4 linked regions of the Arabidopsis thaliana genome follow. The protein of the gene in region 4 purifies or fractionates together with the protein of the main gene of each other region. This does not show direct contact. Each region holds a gene or a part of one and is shown on either strand. Other genes may lie near its edges. The genes, in order: AT5G02220, CKS2, KRP6 and CYCD3;1.

Evidence for each region.
Region 1: the proteins of CYCD3;1 (region 4) and AT5G02220 purify together in Arabidopsis thaliana (affinity purification with mass spectrometry, with the first as the bait; 2 studies listed by BioGRID). This does not show direct contact.
Region 2: the proteins of CYCD3;1 (region 4) and CKS2 purify together in Arabidopsis thaliana (affinity purification with mass spectrometry, with the first as the bait; 2 studies listed by BioGRID). This does not show direct contact.
Region 3: the proteins of CYCD3;1 (region 4) and KRP6 purify together in Arabidopsis thaliana (affinity purification with mass spectrometry, with the first as the bait; 2 studies listed by BioGRID). This does not show direct contact.

The regions. Positions count from the first base shown.
Region 1 is NC_003076.8:439,898-444,182, forward strand, and holds AT5G02220 (cyclin-dependent kinase inhibitor), read right to left. Parts: upstream 2,291-4,285; 5' UTR 2,206-2,290; coding exon 1,987-2,205; 3' UTR 1,555-1,986; downstream 1-1,554.
Region 2 is NC_003071.7:11,911,196-11,916,311, reverse strand, and holds CKS2 (CDK-subunit 2), read left to right. Parts: upstream 1-2,886; 5' UTR 2,887-3,051; intron 3,052-3,163; 5' UTR 3,164-3,199; coding exon 3,200-3,252; intron 3,253-3,346; coding exon 3,347-3,407; intron 3,408-3,714; coding exon 3,715-3,852; 3' UTR 3,853-4,161; downstream 4,162-5,116. Other genes in the region: AT2G27980 (Acyl-CoA N-acyltransferase with RING/FYVE/PHD-type zinc finger domain-containing protein), read left to right, coding at 79-245, 362-575, 728-785, 877-933, 1,015-1,272, 1,346-1,410, 1,487-1,543, 1,634-1,727 and 2 more; CKS1 (cyclin-dependent kinase-subunit 1), read left to right, coding at 4,769-4,821, 4,897-4,957. UniProt on the Arabidopsis thaliana protein: Binds to the catalytic subunit of the cyclin dependent kinases and is essential for their biological function.
Region 3 is NC_003074.8:6,615,121-6,620,624, reverse strand, and holds KRP6 (KIP-related protein 6), read left to right. Parts: upstream 1-2,673; 5' UTR 2,674-2,969; coding exon 2,970-3,263; intron 3,264-3,366; coding exon 3,367-3,422; coding exon of another isoform or gene 3,423-3,514; coding exon 3,515-3,691; coding exon of another isoform or gene 3,692-3,695; exon of another isoform or gene 3,696-3,933; coding exon 3,934-3,997; 3' UTR 3,998-4,295; downstream 4,296-5,504. Other genes in the region: DNF (RING/U-box superfamily protein), read left to right, coding at 5,290-5,504. UniProt on the Arabidopsis thaliana protein: Binds and inhibits CYCD2-1/CDKA-1 complex kinase activity. Regulates cell division which is crucial for plant growth, development and morphogenesis. May inhibit CDK kinases specifically involved in the G1/S phase transition.
Region 4 is NC_003075.7:16,354,860-16,360,733, reverse strand, and holds CYCD3;1 (CYCLIN D3;1), read right to left. Parts: upstream 3,314-5,874; 5' UTR 2,832-3,313; coding exon 2,358-2,831; intron 2,269-2,357; coding exon 2,067-2,268; intron 1,958-2,066; coding exon 1,827-1,957; intron 1,754-1,826; coding exon 1,430-1,753; 3' UTR 1,169-1,429; downstream 1-1,168. Other genes in the region: AT4G34150 (Calcium-dependent lipid-binding (CaLB domain) family protein), read right to left, coding at 3,779-3,816, 3,916-4,225, 4,311-4,356, 5,046-5,117, 5,209-5,335, 5,443-5,547, 5,654-5,699. UniProt on the Arabidopsis thaliana protein: Involved in the control of the cell cycle at the G1/S (start) transition. Activates the G1/S phase transition in response to cytokinin hormone signal, but declines in response to sucrose starvation leading to G1 arrest.

The sequences.
Region 1 (4,285 bases), on a different chromosome or scaffold from region 4:
TGGATCTTATGAAAATCAAGGAACAGACGAAGACGATAGGTCAGTCACAGTTAAGAGAGGATATATATATATAGGGATTACACGAGTATGTTAAAAGAGATGAATTGAAAGCTGGAGAAATAAACAAAACACAAATGAACAGAGAATATCCAAATAATTAACCGATCCCAACTTACAAAATCTACCCGAAAATATATGCAAAAAAATCTTTTCACCAAATATATCGGATATAATTAAGAGAATATCACAAGTATGACTAGGTCTTTGATAATCAAAAAACAAAAAAAAATGGGGATCGGATCCCCATAATTTCTCAGCAGTGAGAGAGATCGGATCTTTGAAAATCAAGGCACAGAGGAAAGACGTACGATAGGTTCAAATAACTTTGTGAAGATATATATATTTAGGGATTAAACGAGTACGTCGAGTAGACTTGGTATTTGATGATATTACAATTTTCTTACAAAAAAAAATTTGGTTTCTTGTATGAATATTTGCATTGATTGAAATCTGGTAACAAATTTTCGAAAAACTTGTATCTTGAATCTGAAAAATCACTCCAAGTTTCTCATATACTCTGCTCGGAATCGGAATTTCCCTTTTGCTTTTCATTTTTTTCATCTTCTGTGAATGGTTATTTACATGAGCTATAAAGTATCGTGCCTCTGAGGTGCTAGATGGTTTTCCTCACTGTGTTTAAAGGTGAAGTAGTGCGTTTTGGTGTTAGGATTATCAAGTATAGCTAGCATAGCAACATGTTGATGGCCTACGAGATACTGAACACTTGAATCGTAAGTATAGCTAGCATAGCTTATCTTTGCTATATTCAAACAAAGTACTTGTGGATTTAGATTCTGGACTAACAAGATTTGTACTTTAAGAGATCCTTCCTCTTCATCTCAGTGGTACCTATGTTAAATGTAAAATGTTGTCTTTAGTTAAACGGTGTGGATACTTTATACTTAAGAAATTAACTTGGAAGTTACAATTGTAGATAGTCATCTCTTTACTCTCATGGAAAATAAGTTAATATATGACCTTTACTATACGACTATTTGCTTTCAGCGATATCAACGATCTGATGATAGTCACTGCGGAAACCTTGTGACTCAGAGCAAAAAGAGGAAACTGTGTTGAAGAATCAGCCATGTTTACCCCTACGGAAGCACTTTTGTCTGGAGCAACAAGCTTCTCTTCCTGATTCTTCATCCGACATAGAATCTGCTGAAATGCTCTTATATGCCATGGAGCCATGGAGTACACAAAAACCGGCAATGAGACCTCCCCTTTTGCGTCTCTCCCAGAACCTTATTTGGGACACAAAAACCGGCAAGGACACATGTCTAATCATTCAACCGGAAGTTATGGTTCTGGTTATGTTACATCAAGCTTGGACCAGTGTTGTTCCAAAGTTAATCATAAAACACACGAAGATGTTGAAGACTTTACTCACCTACATGAGTCAATATTTTAGTGTCACGCATTACAAAATTGTATGACATTCATTTGAATTGCAGATTCCGAAGAAACTACCTCAAAAACCAACCATTGATCAAAGAGTTTGAGCACTACTTTTTCAACACTTATGAATAACCAAAAAAACAGAGCAAATAAAGACATTGGTTCATCTGAATTTTCGTTAAGCTTTTGATGTTGTCTTGTTCACAGTTTCTAAACCTCACTTTCTCACCCAATTATGTAGTTGAAAAAAACTCTCTAATCAATAAACAGCATAATCAGAGTTTAACAATCAATCTTTCAATCTCCGACAAGAACTAATTAGATCTAGAACACAAGCCAACAAATTTCGAATTGGAAAACAGATCAAAGTTTCATTTTAGCAAATTCCAATTTCGATACACAAACAAAGTCATCTCTCTGAAAGATAAATAAAATCTAATAAGAGAACAAACCCTAAACATGTATCTACAGAGAAGAAAGTAAAAAAAAAACCTAGATAATTCAAATCAAATCAAATCTCAAAATCTAAGCGCAAGCTTCTCTTCGAGGCTGTGCGTAGAACAAAGTTTCAAGATCTGGTGGCTGAAAGTACCCGTTCCTCGGCGGATCTCGTTTTCTCACCACCATCAACTTCTTCCTCGGCGGCGGTGGACAAACAGACGCCACCGGAATCCTATACATCGTGCTTCTCGGCGTCGTACATCCTTCCTCCGCCATCTCCGTCTTCCTCTCCACCACCTCCATTCTTCTCTCTCGAACTCGAAATCGTCGTAAGAGGGAAAAAATTTGAAGTCTGAGAAGAGGCGGTTACATCTTTATTTTATATATCAAAAAAAAAAAAAAAATTCAGATTATTTCCTTTTAAAAAATTCGAAATTTGGGAGGGAGAACAAAAAAGGAATCTTTCTCACGAAGCTCTTTCTGAAATATCAATCGGACGGTGGATATGGTTTTAAACAGCTTGATGTGAGCTGGCTATGCTGACGTGGTGGAATTTTAGTGGTTGGTAGCACCAAATTTAAGTAACGCGTGACCCAACCGCACCGTTTCTCACGCTCCACTATCATTATTGGTAAATCTTTATTATATTAATATATATTTTGTCCACTTTTATCATATTTAATAATATTTTTTATCTGTAATTTATCCGTTTGTGACGGCGCGAACTTGCGCAGCAAGTCCCTTTGGGCGGGAAAATTAAAAAAGGACTCCTTCCTTTTTGCAGCGAAAATTTTATGTTCGTATACCGATCGGTTTTGGTAACATTAAACCGAAATTGTAAACCGGTATCTTTTTAATCCTTATATAGCTTCTGGAAATGAATCACGAGGGTGGCACGTGCGGTCTTCCACCAAGTTATTCACGTGATTTATTTCTGAGAGTTAAACGCACTCTCACTGTTACCGTTGTTCTTGTCCTCCAGTTACAAGCCAACGTAGCAAAAAATAAAAATTATAAGTAATTGATTTTTGTCAAGATTATATATTGATTATGGTATAACAAAACTTTAGAAATATAAAATTATCAAAAAATTATTATAGTAGCAAATTTAAGAGAAGCCCATAAACCACAAAAAGTATCAATCGGTCAAACCCAAGAAGAAAGCAAAAAACCCAAAAAAACTTAAACGGCCCAATCTGATTAACTATATAATATATCCGTTTTGGCCCATTAAAATAAACATTACCGGCGGCGAAAAGAGCTCCGAGAATATGTGGGGTGCTCCGGCGATTAATAATTAAAATTAGTTTATTGTAACTTCATGTTTTTCGTTGTTGTCAACTACTAATCCTTTTCACTTGACTCGGTCTTCTAGTTTCAACATCGGTTAAAATGGTCCTCAGATAAGTTCTTAACTTGTCGTTTTAAATTACAACGTAGACGTATTGTAGAGCTTCTTATTTAAATAATAAAAACAACGAATTTTATGTGGAAATAGAGTTGTTTGCAGGTCTTTGTTGTACTCAAGGAAATTTTCTTGCAATTTGTTGTTTCACTGAAATGTCAACGTATATATATGTGAACATGGAGAGCCTATCACATTCTCTACTCTCGATGATCATGAGTACAAATTATACAATAATCCTAGTTATTAGTTTTTACCATTATATAATACTAATTGATCAAGCAATATTGCTTGCGGCTCCACTTTTATATCAAACGAAACCTAGTCCTGGACTCCTAGTAATTTAATTTTCATTTTGGAGATTCAGTTATCAGATTTTTTTATTAAAAAAATATAAAATTGATATATGAAAAAAAAAAAAAAAAAAAAGAGAAATAACAGGGAGATTGTAGTCTACAATTTGTAGTGGAGTCTCAGTCTACATACATGAGTCATATTGATGTCTTTCTATAGTATCAATTAAGTTTTGACGAATGAGTGACAAAATATTTTGTTAGTGCCTTTAGTTTTGAGTGATTGTCCTTTTCACCACGACTTGACAATTTTTTTCTATGAGTCCGAATTACGAAACTACACATAAATTTCTGATTCATACGCCAAAAGAAAAAAATATTATATGATCACTAACACGATTTGAATATGAATACTATATGATAAGTAATACATTGACTTTTATCGTAACTCGTTGTACTAGCAGAATAGCTTTAGTTAATTATTTTCCCTTGTTATTATATTCCAAACTAATCTAACCTCTTCTCTTGGACCTCTATGGAGTTTTCTTTGTTAATGTTGTTAGTATGTTTACATTTAGTATAAATTTATACGAAGATGCTTTGTGTTTCTCTTCTTACAGCTCTTATTACTTAATTTAATTTTAATTATATTCGTGAGTAATTTTGATATTGACGATTAATTGAG
Region 2 (5,116 bases), on a different chromosome or scaffold from region 4:
TGGATCCTTAAGATCATTGATTGTACGATTCACAGAGAAACTGTTTAAACAACTAATTCATCTTCTGTTAATGATCAGGTTTCAGCACATTTATACAACCAATGGGGTTTCTCTTCATGAACTATCAGTAGCACTATCAATGGACCAGAGGTTTTCCATCCATGAAAATGATGACCTTTGCAGTATATGTAGGGATGGGGGTGAGCTCGTGTGTTGTGATACCTGTCCAAGATCATATCATAAAGGTTTGGTATTTGCAGTTTTCCATGTTTGTTTGTTGGAATTCTTCTATTGCTACTTTTAAAATGTTTTTGGAGCGTGAACTTGATAGAGCTTATCTGTCTGTTTTGGTTTTATCTAGTATGTGCTTCTCTACCAAGCCTTCCGAGTGAGAGGTGGTCCTGCAAATATTGTGTGAATATGGTTGAGAGAGAGAAGTTCGTGGATAGCAATCTCAACGCCATTGCAGCTGGGAGAGTTCAGGGAGTTGATGCAATTGCTGAGATAACCAATAGATGCATTCGAATTGTCAGCTCTTTTGTGACCGAGCTCCCAAGTGTATGCGTGTTATGCAGGTGAATATCAAGCTTTTCCATTATTTCTAGTCTCTTGATGTCTTCCTTCATAGTGTCTCATTAAAAATGTTTAGTTGAGAAGATGTGTATTGGCTAACTGAAACCATTTGCTTATGAGACTGACCTTTGCTTAATTTTCTATGTTGTTGCAGAGGTCATAGTTTTTGCAGGTTGGGCTTTAATGCTCGCACTGTGATTATCTGTGATCAGGTACTTTGTTGTTCATTGCTGTATAGGGTTCCTTGCCTCTTAAATCTGCTTCTGGTCTTCACCATTTTTGGTTTTGTTGTTTTCTCCTCAGTGTGAAAAGGAATTCCATGTTGGCTGTTTGAAAGAACGTGACATTGCTGATCTCAAGGTTCTTTGCCTATTTAGCTCTTTCATTCCCTCGGGTGAAAACTCAGTATCTATCTTTCTCATTCTTGTTATGTCTTAACAGGAGCTACCTGAAGAAAAATGGTTCTGTTCCCTCGGGTGCGAAGAGATCAACACTACATTGGGCAATCTGATAGTTCGCGGAGAAGAGAAGCTAAGTAACAATATTCTGAATTTTTTAAGGAAGAAGGAACAACCTAATGAAGAAAACTGTCCAGATTATAAAACCACTCCTGACATAAGATGGAGGGTCCTTAGTGGGAAGTTGACCTCTTCAGATGATACCAAAATATTGCTTGCAAAGGCACTTTCCATTCTTCATGTAAGTCAAGACCACATTTCAAACTCTTCTGTCCTTTCTGCTGTTTGTCCCTTCTAACAATTGTATGCTATAGGAACGGTTTGATCCTATCAGTGAATCTGGGACCAAGGGAGATTTGATACCAGCCATGGTGTATGGGTAAGCAATTTTGTATCTTCAATCAGTCGAGTGGATTATTCTTTGTGCTGATCAACAACTTTTGTGTGTGGAACAGAAGGCAAACAAAGGCCCAAGATTTTAGTGGCATGTACTGCACTATGTTGGCTGTGGAGTAAGATTCTTCTTCTTTTTCACTCTAATTTATTTTCTGTGACGCATGTTTCATCTTTTTAATGTTGTCCTTTTTTTGTTTCTTGTGCAGCGAAGTGATTGTTTCAGTGGGAATCTTTAGGGTTTTTGGGTCAGAACTTGCAGAACTCCCTCTGGTTGCTACCAGCAAAGATTGTCAAGGGCAGGTAAACAGTTTTTATCTGGAACCTTGGATGTTTTTTCTTTACAACAGGTGCCTACTCCTATAGAATGGTTAATAAACGACTCACTCTTACTGTCAATCCCATACATTGATAAATTATACAGTGATACATCTAAGCAGACATGTTTTTGTGTCGAATAGCTTAAGAGCAGAACAATGTGTAGCATCTTAATTGCAGAAGGAATTTTTTTGTGTCAAATTGTACCTGGGGGATGAAATGCTTGTGATTGCTCTTTTTTGAGAGTTTGAGAATTTATGTTTTTTTTTTCCTATTGTAGGGTTACTTCCAATGCCTGTTTGCTTGCATCGAGAGGCTACTTGGGTTCCTAAACGTGAAACATATCGTGCTACCAGCAGCAGATGAAGCCAAATCCATATGGACTGACAAATTTGGTTTCACCAAGATGACCGACGAAGAGGTATATATCTATATCCATATAAACTTATATACACTCCCAATGAATCCCATCTCTGATACACACTGTGTTTGTGTGTTATTAGGTGAAAGAATACAGAAAAGACTACTCGGTGATGATCTTTCATGGAACATCTATGTTGAGAAAGAGTGTACCAGCACCGAGTGCCGTGAGTAAAACTGAGGCCAGTAAGGAGGAGTAAGCTCAAGGTTGTCTTTGTTTTTTGGTTTTTGGAAAGTTGGTGAAACGATTGGATGCTCTTTTTTAATCTAATTTCGGGTAGTAGCCACGTTCTTGTACAGGTTTCTCCCCTAACGTGTCTTTCTTTGTAATGGAAACTAGAGAGAAAGATACACAAAAGGGTTAGAGAATTTGGTTTTGGTAGAGACGAAGTAGAGATAAGAGGGGGAAGTAAATGGGGAAGTCTAAAACATTAGGGCATTCTTTTGGGGGTTTAGTCATGATTATCCGAAGCTAATTTTTTTTTGTATATTAGTGCCCAAAAATGAAATTCAATTTTCTGAAATCTTTTTCTTTTTGTCACTGATGTTTATATATCGAACAAAGGAGGTATACAAAGCCGGCGAGTATACGGACACCTGAACTCTGACTATAAGAGGAAGATACTGATGCCTTTAGAAATGAATCTCTGAACCGGGAATTATACCGGTTTGATTAACGTCGAACCGTAATCAAAATTTTAGGGCTCCACTAAGCGGGAAGGAGCGCCTCTAAGAAATTTGAAACTCAAAAAAATCAAAACACCCGTTGAGAAAATGCCCCTATAAATCCCCATAATTACTTCCTTACCACAATGCCTTTTTAATTCCCTTTCGCTTTCCCTCTTCTCCCCTAAAATTCATTTCGTTTCCGATCGCACTTCTTCTCAAGGTCTGCTTTACTTCCCGATTCTTAGATTAGGGTTCGATTTCTGATTTGTTTAGGTTCTCGTCGTTGTTTAGGGTTTAGATTACTGACAGATTGCTCCATTTCTTTTGTTTAGTAAATTTAATAGACGTTTGTTGGGTGATTTAAGAAGATGGGTCAGATCCAGTACTCCGACAAATATTTCGATGATACTTTCGAATACAGGTGATTCTCAGTTTGATTCTCCTCCCATTTTAATGGAGTTCTCTCTCACGTTTTAGTTTCAGTCTAATCGCGTGGTCTTTTATTTTTCTCTCAGGCACGTTGTACTTCCTCCGGAAGTTGCTAAGCTTTTACCTAAGAATCGTATTCTTTCGGAAGTAAGTTAAAAATTAGGGCTTTCCTCTATTCGCTGTATAACCCTTGAATCATCGTAGGCTAAGAGATTTACATGTTTAAGAAATTAAGTTAGGAAATTGAAGTTTGGACTTTTGAGAGTCGAAGAAATTGAAGTTTCTGCTTAGGAATTTGAAGTTTTGCTTCTCATTAACTTGTTTATTAACTTTAGGTTGTGTAATTGTCAGCAGTGACGAAGATAGTTTAGATATTTTTTTGTGTTATCAGTCAATTCTCAGTTTTCTGATTTTGAAGTTAACAGTTTTCTTGTTTTACAATCTGGTTTTGTAGAGTGAATGGAGAGCCATCGGAGTGCAGCAAAGTCGTGGATGGGTTCATTACGCGATTCATCGTCCTGAGCCACATATCATGCTCTTTAGGAGGCCTCTTAACTACCAGCAGGAGCACCAAGCTCAGATTGCTAAGTAGAAGAATTATGCAAAATTCTCCCTAATCTCTGTTTATGTCTCTCGTAAACGAGGTTTTAAAATACTACTCTGATGTTTTGTTCCTGTAGTTTTTTTTATTGTGTTCATGAATTCTCTTCAGTGGAGAATCATGTGAGTTTGGTAGAACAACTTTTAATGTTATGTTAAGTCTGGTCCTTTGCTAGACTTTGGTTGGATCCACGTTTGAACTTCTTCATGGTTAAGAATGAAGACGTTATTTCTCATGCTTATGTGCTTGTTTCATCATTTCAACCTCTTTTTATTGCTCCTCTTAGAGTCTTAAGTCCATAACTATGAACAACAAACAAGGTATCATTACAATGCCAATCTGAAGGTCTAATCACGATTCTCATGGCGATACTGATTCAAAGAAACTCATATTGTGTCTCAATCACCACATTCACCAAACACCATATATTCCTTACTGTACTACTATTAGTGTATTGAAACCAGGAGATTCAGAGCCATTTTTATAAATTAACTAGATATGTATCTTATACCTAGTGTGAAGCACTGATTGTTGGAATTAAATGAAATTTCGAGAAAATGAACGAGTTCGTAGTTTGATGGTAAATAACAAGGTCTTTGGTCAAAGCAACCAAACAAGTTGTTGAATTTAATTAGAACCAAACCAATCCACCCAATTTCAATTCATTTTGGTAACTAACCGGTTTATAATCATTCATACCCAATCGGCGTCTTCTAAAGAATTTCAAAACTCTAAAAAGTTAATCAAACACCCCTCTATTTCCTCATAATTACATATCTACCCCAAACCACTTTATTCTCCTTTCACTATCTTCCCCAAATTTCAAACGATCAGATTACAGATTCTTCAATTCCTCTTTCCCTTCTCCTCCATTTCCTGATTAAGGCTTCACATCTCTGAGAGAGAAATGGGTCAGATCCAATACTCCGAGAAATACTTCGATGACACTTTCGAATACAGGTAAAGCTCTTCAATCTCGCTTCTTCTTCCTCCAATTTTCACTCTCACTTCTCTAATCGTAATCGATCGATACAGGCACGTCGTTCTTCCTCCTGAAGTCGCTAAACTTCTTCCAAAGAATCGTCTTCTCTCCGAAGTAAGTTTTTTTCCGCATTGTTCTCTGATTTCTGATTCTAAATCCTTCGATTAGATCATCGAAGACTATGAAAATTTGTTGCTCTTAAGAAATTAAGTTTGGGAAAAATCGAAAAAGAGATCGTTTAGGTTTAGGATTTGAATCTTTGCTCTGAATCCA
Region 3 (5,504 bases), on a different chromosome or scaffold from region 4:
CTCAGTCACCTTTTAATATACTTTGGTCATAAATACGAACTGTAGCTAGAGTGATCGACCTGTTTGGCTTCTTCTTCTTTCTTTTTATTGCTTATAATATTAAAAGTCATGTTCAAACTTGGTTATATATGATAAGTGACAACAGAGAGAACCAGGTTCATTTAATTTTAGATTCAGATGAACAAGAAATGTGAATTTATGATCACAGACATAAGATGAGTTGCTGTGTATCTTCTTTAGTCAGTACTGGTCCTTTTGTCTAAGAAACTGTAACAAAAACAAGAACAACAGATATTAGAAAGAAAAAAAAAAGATGGATTGTTTTAAAAGAATTGCCAAAGGCATGAAAGAGGAAGAAACATATATAAGTAAAGATAAAATGTAAGATGAGACAGTTTCACAGATCCCGACCTCAACTGAAAATAAAGCTCACCAACTAACAGTCTACTGTAAAAAAAAAAGTCCTTTAAAAAGTGTGGATGACAAAAAAAAAAAAAAAAAAATGAGTCCTTAAAAAGTGTATTTTTACATTGTTTGACTTTTTCTTTTTCATCTGTTAGAAAACTCCAGCTCCTCTATTGACTTTTTTTTATGGCAATCAGGTGACCCAGTACAGAATTCTCAAGAATCAAGATTCATGTAATTTCGTTATGGTCATGTATGTGTAAGATATATTGTAGGGATTCTTAGGGTTTAATCCGGTCTTTTGTTTCATGGAAGATCTATTAAATAAATATTAGTGTATTATCTCGTTAGAATATCATTTTTTTTCTTTCTAATAACCTGTATTTTATCGGATTTGAATTCGGATCGTGAAACGATATTTAATAAAACATACTTGGTTACGAGTACTAGTTATAATCACTTTTTTTCTTTTTATATCTAAGTATTGCAATCAAAATTTTCTTGGCAGTCAAAATTATTTTAATCTTGACATAGAGTTTTCTACATAGTAAAAAATTATCTTAACATACAAATTAATAGTAGGAAGTGACATAGAAACTATCTTAACATACAAAATCAACTTATCTTTACATTTTTCTAACTAGCTAATCAACAATGTAACAAAAAAATATTTGATTATTGATTGATAGTGTTATTATATATTCATACAAATGAGAAAAGATTTGAAATGATAGGCGAAATTTTTATTGAAAAGTTCTATCAATTTTTTTAAAAGTTTAGGACGACCCTATTCAGGACTATATATGATCATATGGATTACAATGGTCACTGAATAAATTATTTTGAATTATATCATTCCCTCTTGATTTGTCTTAATAATTCCTAAATAAATGCCTAGGTCAGCGAATTCGTTGTTGCATCAGTCACTTAATTATTACTCGATGATTCCTTTTATTACTAAAATTTATTGAAAATGGTCCCATTTATTGGAAGAATAAAGAAGTAGTTACACTAAAATTTAATTATAGTATATGCTTAAATTTGTAAACCGTTCTGGCCATTTTGTATATATATATACATATATGGGCTCTTTAAGACGAGAATTGAGTTTAGTTGTTTACAATTGGTTTTAACTGTACGGACAGTTTAGTTGAGCTTTAATGGCTCATTCTCTATGGTGCTATATTATGGTTTTAACACATGTACATTATTTCATAATACATATGTCATTAAAATGACATAGAGGACAAAATCTGTTGTTGATGTGTATCTGATCAGTGGAAGAAACTTACACATGCATGGAAACTTTCAAAAAGACAACTAAGCATAAACAAGAGATTAATTAGACTTAAGCTGAGTTAGTCTCTATATGACATAATTGATGTTTCTACTAAGCAAACCCCAAACTGTTATTCCCTTTCCAGATTCAAGCATTATTTGATTCGTCATTGATTTCATGGTCTTGGTGATGATACGAACCAAAAAGTTGTATAATTGGTTTATAAGATGTAGGTTCTTACAAAATTGACTATGTAACAAAATTATAGTATTGTTTTAAACGTAAATTAACGAGGCGCTTCTAGACATGTTCCGACAAACATATATAATAGTACAGATGATTTTATAGAATGTAGTTAATCGATGTATCTTCTGCTATAGGTATCTCTAATTTATTGTTCCGACCACCACAATTCTTTTCTAAGTATTTTATAAATTGGTTAACCATGTATCTTCTGTTGTGTAATTATAGCTAGTATCTTCATTTGAAATATTGTAAGGAATAGTTTGTCTAATTGCTTATGATATTTGACCATCTAAGTAAGTTTATGAACTAATTGTTTTTCAAAAAAGGTTGATTAACCTTAATTACGTGATAGTTTTAACATTAAAAGATTTCAACACTATGTTCTGGATGTTAACATATCCATCTCAAAACCATGATAAAACGCGTACAATGGAAGGGATCAAGCTAATTTGACAAATCTCTATTCACACCTCAACCATTCATATATATACCCTCGATATATGTCACATCATTGGTTTTAGCTTTTAATTGATTCTCATAAAATATAAAACCCAATTACGAGAAAAGACTTGTTCGATGGTTCTCATAGACCCTGACCAAATAAGACTTGTTCCTAAACAAATCGAATTAAATAGAGTTGTGGTTTACTCATACTTTAAATCGTTTTAAGAAAAAATAATGACTACTGTTACGTTGCTACTACGTCATAACTACCGAAAATGATTGCGTTTTCAATTGCTTTGAAAGGAAGCCAAAAAGGCAAAAACGGCAAAAAGGGAGAGAAAACGCGTTTGGGAATCTCAACGGCGTTTGTGTAAGAAAATAAAAGCGAAACTCCGTAACGGCGCCGTTATATACCATAACCTCCGTCCGCTCACCAAGGAAAATAAAATCTCAACCGTTGAAATAATCAACGGCTCATGATTCATTCTCTCTCCTTCCCCACCAAAATCTCCTCTGCTTTGTTAAGAAGCGAACCAGAAATAGAAAGAAAAAAAAGCAGAGAGAGAGAGCACACAAAAATCCAAGAGAGAAAAAAATGAGCGAGAGAAAGCGAGAGCTTGCAGAAGAAGCTTCAAGCACAAGCTTCTCACCACTGAAGAAAACGAAGCTTAATGATTCTTCTGATTCATCACCGGACTCTCATGACGTCATCGTCTTCGCGGTTTCATCTTCTTCCGTTGCTTCGTCGGCGGCTTTAGCGTCTGATGAATGTTCCGTTACCATCGGTGGAGAAGAAAGTGATCAGTCCTCGAGTATCAGCTCCGGTTGTTTCACCAGTGAATCGAAAGAAATCGCGAAGAACAGTTCGTCGTTTGGTGTAGATCTGGAGGTGAATTTTCAAAATCAAATAACTCCTCTCTACTTGAATCGATTTAATCAGACGATTTTCTCAGTTTTCGTTTTGATTTTTTATTTCCGTTTCTGTGTTTCAGGATCATCAAATCGAAACCGAAACCGAAACCTCAACATTCATCACCAGCAATTTCAGGTTCATAATCTTTTTGTTTCCCCCCCCCCCCAAATTAGACGTTCAATCGATTTTATTCTCCTTGGCGATTTTTTCTCTGTTTTTTATGGCAGAAAAGAGACGAGTCCAGTGAGTGAGGGTTTGGGAGAAACGACAACAGAAATGGAATCATCATCGGCAACGAAGAGAAAACAACCGGGGGTGAGGAAGACTCCAACGGCGGCGGAGATTGAGGATTTGTTCTCGGAGCTAGAGAGTCAAGACGATAAGAAGAAGCAATTCATAGAAAAGTGAGTCCATTTTTACAATTTCATCATCTCTCTCACGTGTGTTCTTGTTGTTGTTGTGTGCGCTTTGCTTTTTGGGGTTTGGGAAAAATTGGAGTGAGTCCGTACCTAGAGAGAGAGAGAGAGGAATGTGAGTAAAAATGTCTGCGTGCGCATGATAAAAAGATTAACCGACGCGTAGTTTAGCAAATATCCTAAAAAGAGAGAGAATCAGAATCCTAACGAACACACACACTTTGGCACAGGTACAACTTCGATATTGTCAATGACGAACCGCTTGAAGGTCGCTACAAGTGGGATCGACTTTAAGCCATCAAAAAGCAAATACCATCCATGAAGAAGACAAAAGAAAAATAGGTTTTGTTTTTCGTGGTTAACATTTCCACTTGTACAGCTCTAGTCTATTTCTCTTTAAAAACCTATGTTACTAGTTCGTACAAAACAAAACAAAAAACACGACCTTTATAATGAAATTTCGGATCTTGGCTACTAATTACGGTGATTTCGTTGGTTTGTTATGTTTCTGTTTTAAAATCAAAAATGGTTTTGGCAGAGTTTTAAGTGCATGAATATAGAAAGGTGCTTCTTGTTTGGATTCTTTTAAAACATTGGATGCTTAATTATTACAATTATTTTATCTTACTCAAAACTATTATTTTTTGTTTGTCTCATGTCATTCTTATTCTTACACTTGCAGTTTATGTTATATTTAAATGTTTCATGTCATATAGTACCCAATTTACAAAAATATCTGAAACCAAAAATTGATGTTTTAAAAAAAAAATTGGAGAAAAGAGGAAAGGTACATGACATGACGGCACAGTAATACAGTTGGTTTGTACTTCTCTAAAAACTGCGATCATACAAAATACAAATATTATATTTTTTCTATTTTTTTCACTAATATTCTTTTATTTTATTTTGGAATATTCCTCTATTTTGGCACTAAACACAGGGTCCACTTAGTTAAAACCATTTTGGCCTTCATTAGATAAAACCAAAAAGCGGCCTATGCGGAGTAGTAATTTATCCTAATGAAGTGTGTTACTGTAACAAAATATCATCAATGAGTGATACTATATAAAAACGATTACATAGGATATATTTACGTGGATTAGCTTTTTGGTAACGCATTAAAAAAGGTTAATCTCATCATTGCATGGTTCCGTTGGGATTATATTTCTCCTTTGAGGCTTTTTTTTTACCATGTCTTACATAGCAGACACAGCCACGTGCTTCTGTTTCCACATTTATTTTTAAATTATTATATCATCTTCTATTTTTTTGTTTAATTAGTAATTTACAAGCTCGAGTAACAATTAAATAGAAATGTTGGAAAACATTGAAAACGAGAGAAACTACAACCCAAAATACTAATGATAAACAAAACCGGGAAGTGTATCTTTAAAAGAACGAACTTGTGGTTGCTCTAGTTTTGGGCCCTGGGGGCTTTGTTTCAGACCCAATACTTTCTTTAATCTATCGAATTTTTGGATTATTAATTAGAACTGAATTAGGATCTGGTTTCAATATTAATCCCTTAATACATACCTATAAAAAGGTTATTAATTTGAGAGATTGATATTGCAAAAGTTTTTAAGATGAACGAAGATGCTCTCGAAGCTGTACGATCTCGCACATTCTTCGCGATTCTGACTGTGTTTTATTCTATATTTCGTTGTTGTCTTGCTTATTGCAACAAAGGTGACGATGATCATCTGATTCATCCTAGTCATAGTTTACATGTCATAAAAGCCACTGGGATCAACCCTTCCGTTCTTTTATCAATTCCTGTCGTATCTTTCAACGCTAATGC
Region 4 (5,874 bases):
AGCGAAATGAAATTGAGAATATAAAGGAAAAAGAACGATGAATCTGAATCCCCCAAAGTAGAAAATTCGTGTCACACGTGAAAAAAGTTATAGATTTAAATTCTCTTTTTTTATTGCCAAGAAAATAAATAAATAAAAAGTCCAAAGAGAAAATAAAATTGGAAAAGAAAAAGTGTAAAAGAAGGAGCCAAGATTTTCACACAACCTAAAGTTTTGTTTAAAAAAAAAAAATCAATTTCTCGTGATTCAATCGCATTATCATATAAGCTTTTCCGTGATACAAAAGGGATTTTATAATAGTAAATTGTTAAATTTAATATCTTCAATTTTCGTAATTAATTGACGATTATTTGATGTTATTAAAAGAAAAAAAGAATAGTAACGCTGGATACTTTTTGCCACGTGTCTTAATCCCAGGTGCTCAGAGTGGAAGCAGGTTACTTTGGTTCTGGTGTTGTTACTAATGCTGCACCACATTTTTATCGTCGTCGAACAACACTCACCTATATATGGCGCGTTTACTTCACTTCCTCCTTCTTGTCCTGTGTCTGTCTGTCGCAGTTAATTTATCTACTGGTCAACGAAAGATCTACACTCTGTAGATTTGATTTAAGTTTCGCTGTTTGATTTTTAAAAACATTTATAATTATATGTTGTTATTTTCGACAACTTACATGTTCATGTGTAGTTAGTTATTTGATACGCAATAATATAGTGTAGAGCAGGTTTTGACAAGACTTTAGACAAAAAATCTAAAGCAATAATATAGTGTTACGTTTTCATTTTTGTCTTTCCGTTTTAAAATTTTAATTATTGATTCATCTTTGAAAGCGATTATATTTAAAGACTGACAAAAAAAGCAGCAACAATTGGCTCTTCTCCCAAAAGTCAAAGCTAAAAACGCTAAATCTTTCACTTTCGATCATAAACACAACAGTCTCATTCAAATATTAAAACATTGTGACATCTCATTTCTTAAATTTTGTATTATCCACCATTCTGGACGAAAAAAATGTAGTTATCAAATAGCACGGATTTAAATGCGTTTTTTTCTTTCCTAAACTACAGGAGTAAAAGAATATGTATGTAATTATTATTTCCTTCAGCAAAGCAGATTTTAGAACATACTACTACTCATAATATAAAACATTAATAAAATATGAATAACGCCGGAGATTACGGCCCAAAGATTGGGCAAGCCTCAAAATTTACGCAATATTATTATTATTATTTCTAATTCTCTCCTTCGTCACATCCCATGCAGTCAAATGTCATGAATACCCTTTACCCATTAACTCTATCAAGCCATGGCACGTAAGGGCATTCGCGACATTTCGTATATGCAAACGGGTAAAGCTTAATACAACAAAGATTGTTCTCAAAGTTTAAAAAAACAGTAAATATCATATAAACGAAATCGAGCTTTCGATTATGGAGTGGCTACGATTGCCCATGGCAGATGCAAAATCGGCTTCTTCTTCTCATTCTCTTCAGCTCCTCTCATCTTCTTCAATGGAGGTTGTTGCTGCGGGGACGACGACGACGTTGGTGGGTTGCACGAACTCGCTGACCACGAATCGTTTGAGCTTTCGTCGCTATTGAAAGGGTTTGCATCAATCACGCAGCTTGGACTGTTCAACGATGATGATGAATCGTGACTCTTGCGTTTCTTGGAAGATTGGATTTGGATCTGTAAACCGATGCGGTCCACTGGTAGTTGGAGGATTAGATCGTAGCAAGTTTTCACCTTTTCCTGTTAATGCACGAGAGTTGTTTGAGAAAATGACTGAGTGAAAACAAGTAGAGAGATGATTAGAGAAGCTAACCTTGGTTAAGTTAAGGACACCGAGGAGATTAGTTTGGTATGAAAGAGGGTCAAAGGGATCAACTTGCTCTATAATTCGCATCATGGTAGCTGCGGCAACTACTGATGGGAGGTACCCGACAAATCTTGAATCTGACAAAGACAATTGAGGAAGATAAGACAAGAATGTAAGATGATTACTCAGATTCAGCAGATGGTAAAACGAAATGGAGTGGCTTTTTTCTTTTTGTCGTTTACGAACCGGAGATTACAGAGAGGAGGAGACGGTGGCATTTGTTGAGGAAATCCCAGTGAGCATTGTTCTTAAGTCCCAATCTCCTGATAATGTGGTCTACGAACGAAATTGGAGTAATGAGATGCATCTTCCACTCGAGAGTAGACAGAATCAGTAGCTCCATTCTCTGTATGGTTTTTGCTTCAAACACATACTTTGTCTCCTCCACCTGCAAACCCCCAAAAAAACAGAGAGATGAGAACAGAGGGATAAAAGACTTAAACTTTAAGGAAATTTATTGCAAGTATCATCATTTACTTGAAAGTCTAGAAGAAGAGGGACTTGGGTTTCTTCGACTTTAGCAGCTAATGAGAGACACGCGACAGAAACGAGCTGAAGCATCCATGGTTTGTCTCTCTGTAAGCTGTAGCTACAGATGAACTTATCGAGATAAGTTATGGCTAAAACAGCTGCTAAAGTAGAGAAGCCATAATGAGCGTTGACTCTCAGAATCCAACCAACAGCTTCTTTTCGATCCGTGGAAAGATAAACATCATCGAGACAGCTGAGTCCTTGTTCTTCTTCTTTGGAGAAGAGTGTAACCAGATCTTCATCTTCCCAGAACAAATCTTGTTGCAAAACAACGAATGGAGAAGAAGAAGAAGACAAGGAAGAGTTTTCTTCAACTTCTTCTCCTTCATCGTCCCATTTCTCTTCTTCGCAGTAGAGAGCATCAAGAAGAAACGAATTGCTCTGTTCTTCTCTACTTTCTTCCTCCTTCCGAATCGCCATTGTGGGGGACTAAACTCAAGAATGAGAAGAAAGATAAGATCTTTCTCTTCTCTTCTATATTGTTGTTGATTTAGTTATTGGGTTTTGGCTCAGAGCATTACACGGAAGAAGATAAGATGATAGAGAGAAAATCTCTCGGAGAGAGACTCATCTTTCCTCTCTATGGAAACGTGCAGTGGTTAGCTTAGCAGGGGAGAGCTACAAAAGAGAGACTAGAGAGAGAAAGAGAGAGGAAAAAGCTGGAAGTGGGTTTCGGAGAGTGATAAGAAGAGAGATTGATTTATGAGAGAAGGCCGAGAGATGGTTTTTACGTTTGTCTTTTACTAATATATTATTTGTTTTTCTTGTTGTGATTATTTAATGTGGAATTTCTTTTTCTTTATTTTTTATTAAATGTGTGATTTCTTTTGCTGTTTCCCGCTTTACCCACTTTTTACTCATTTGGAGTAGAGATCGAGAAACCAAAGTGCAGTAAAATCTGTCGGCTAAATTCTACTACTTTTGGGCTATTTGTCAACAATAATGTTTTTGTTAGAACCTAAAGATATTGCTATACATTGACCAAATAACCTTTTTCTAATTGCATCTGATCACAAGTGCGATGATTATACGCCGATAAGTTCCGTTTCTTAAAGTTAAAGACAGAACCAAAACCTTTTTTTGTTTTTAACATAATTTTAACTCAAGAGGATGATGAACACACAAAACCAAGGATTTAGAGTAATAATTCAATATAATCTGCGATCTGGTTAAACATGAAAAGATCCAAACTTCTCAATAAGTTTCACTGACCAACTCAAAAATTAACCATCACGCTAGCAATAGCACAAGGAAGATGATATAAAAAAAACAAAACAAAGAAATTCGTCTGCCAAATTCTAGAAAACACCATAACTATAATCTATACATCATGACCACTTCCCGTCAAATTCTAAACGCCAAACGCTCTAGTATGGAGGAGGTGGGTATTGTCCTGGATATGGACCTGGAAACAAGAAGAAAAAAGATCAACCACCACTGACTATAGTTAGAGACAAGCAAATGCGATCAATTGCAGCATAGAACAGGAAAGAAAGGAAGGTACCTTGTGGGTAATATGATGGTTGCGGAGGGTATGGTTGAGGAGGGTAAGCTGAGGATGGCGGAGGAGGTGGGTAAGCTGAAGGGATCGGAGGGTAGCCCGAGGTTGAGGGAGGTGGATAGGCAGATGGCTGAGGAGGATACCCTGAAGCTGGAGGGTATCCTGATGGCTGAGGGTATTGTTGTACTTGTGGGTATAGAGATGGTCCAGAGTATGGTGGTGCTGTTGAATACGGAGATGCAGAAGGCGGTGCTGAGTATTGAGGTACGTGAGGTGCATACGGTGCTGATGGCGCAGACCCGTAATTATGTTTCTGCATACAAGAGTGGATTGTGTGTTTAGCCTTTTGTTTATAATGGAACATGTTAACCAATGTTGCTAATTGAGGCTCGACTTACCTTTGCTCCCGCATAATGCAGTAGGAGTTGTACTTCTCCAGCGAATCTACAAGACAGAAAGGTTGATGTTTTTCACAAGGCTTTTAATCAAAAAAGTAATCTTTTACAAGGAGCAATCGCTGAGGACAAGCTACCAAAATCTTGGCACATTGTAACCGATTTTCCAGGAATTTAAGAAAACAAAACACATAGCCATGGATTAAAAAACACATAACTTTCTCTTTTTCAAAAACAAAAATGGAATACCTCAAGAGACCAGTTTTAAGAAATTCTAATTTGATGCTACAATGTTTAAACGCAACTTCACATCTCTTTACTGAGGTAACCTAACAACAGACAATAGAAGCTCCATTTATGTCAAAATGTCTAGTTATCTTTCATAAGTTCCAGAGAAACCTAATCAAAATGCTACATCAATTGTGAGTGTGCTCAATGTAGAAACAGAACATTCGAACAAGTAGTTCACACAGATTAACAATTTAGGACACAAAAACACACATAACGACTCTGATCAGTGAGCAAAACCATGTCAGCACTGTAAGTAAATGACAAGAACAAAGCAAAGCAAAGCAAAGCAACTGGCGAAACTATATATTCAAGCACTATATAGTAGAAACCACATCAAAAAGTTGCACCAAAATCAGCTAGACAAATGTGAACCATGCAATAATCGAGATTACCAAACATGATACTTAATGGAAAAGGAACAAAAACTAGTAAAGCCAATGTAATTACCTCCCAGTTTTACTCTGCAAAGTCCAGGTACAGTCGTCGTATTCCTGAGAAAGAACTTTCTGCAATTGAATCCTAATAACAACCAAACAACAAAAGACTCAATTCCAAATCCAAAGCGGGTATTAAAAAGCATAACAAGGCAATGATAAGAAGTGACACATACGTTGCATTGCCAATGAAGTCATCAGTGGAGAGAGTGTTGCTATTCCAGACAGCAACCTTAAGATCCCTAAGCCCTTCAATCAAAGTGAAGATAAACTTCTCTTGGAAAACAGCGTTCTTTCCACCATCTGAAAAAACAAACCCATCAATCAAATTCATTGAAAGATCTTAACTTTGTTCAATTTTTTCTGGATCTGAACAAATTATGAATAAAAGAGGTGGTATTAAAAATAACCTGTGCAGGTTCTGGTACGGTGACTTCTGCCACCATACTCAAGGACGACGTATGGATCTTGTCTTGAAAACCATTCCGTGTCTTTCAATTTCTGGCACCCAACAACTGACAAATCAAAAGAATCCCAGAAATTTTAAAAGTTAACATTTCAACGGATCATAGATAAGGTTGAAGAACATAATAGAATTGGGGATGTGAGAAAGGTACGAACCAGTGACCTCGAGAATCTGGCCTTGTATACCCGCCATCATCGACATGAATTTGGAAGAAAACAATCGAGATTGAGAAAAAGAAGGTAATGATGAAGATGATGAATTCAGAGAGATAATTCCGTGACGTGAGACTTTAAATAAAAATAAAATGGCGACTTTGATTGATGATGAAATAACGCAGAACTTGCTTTCAAGAACCAGACGCGTCTCGTAAGGCGTT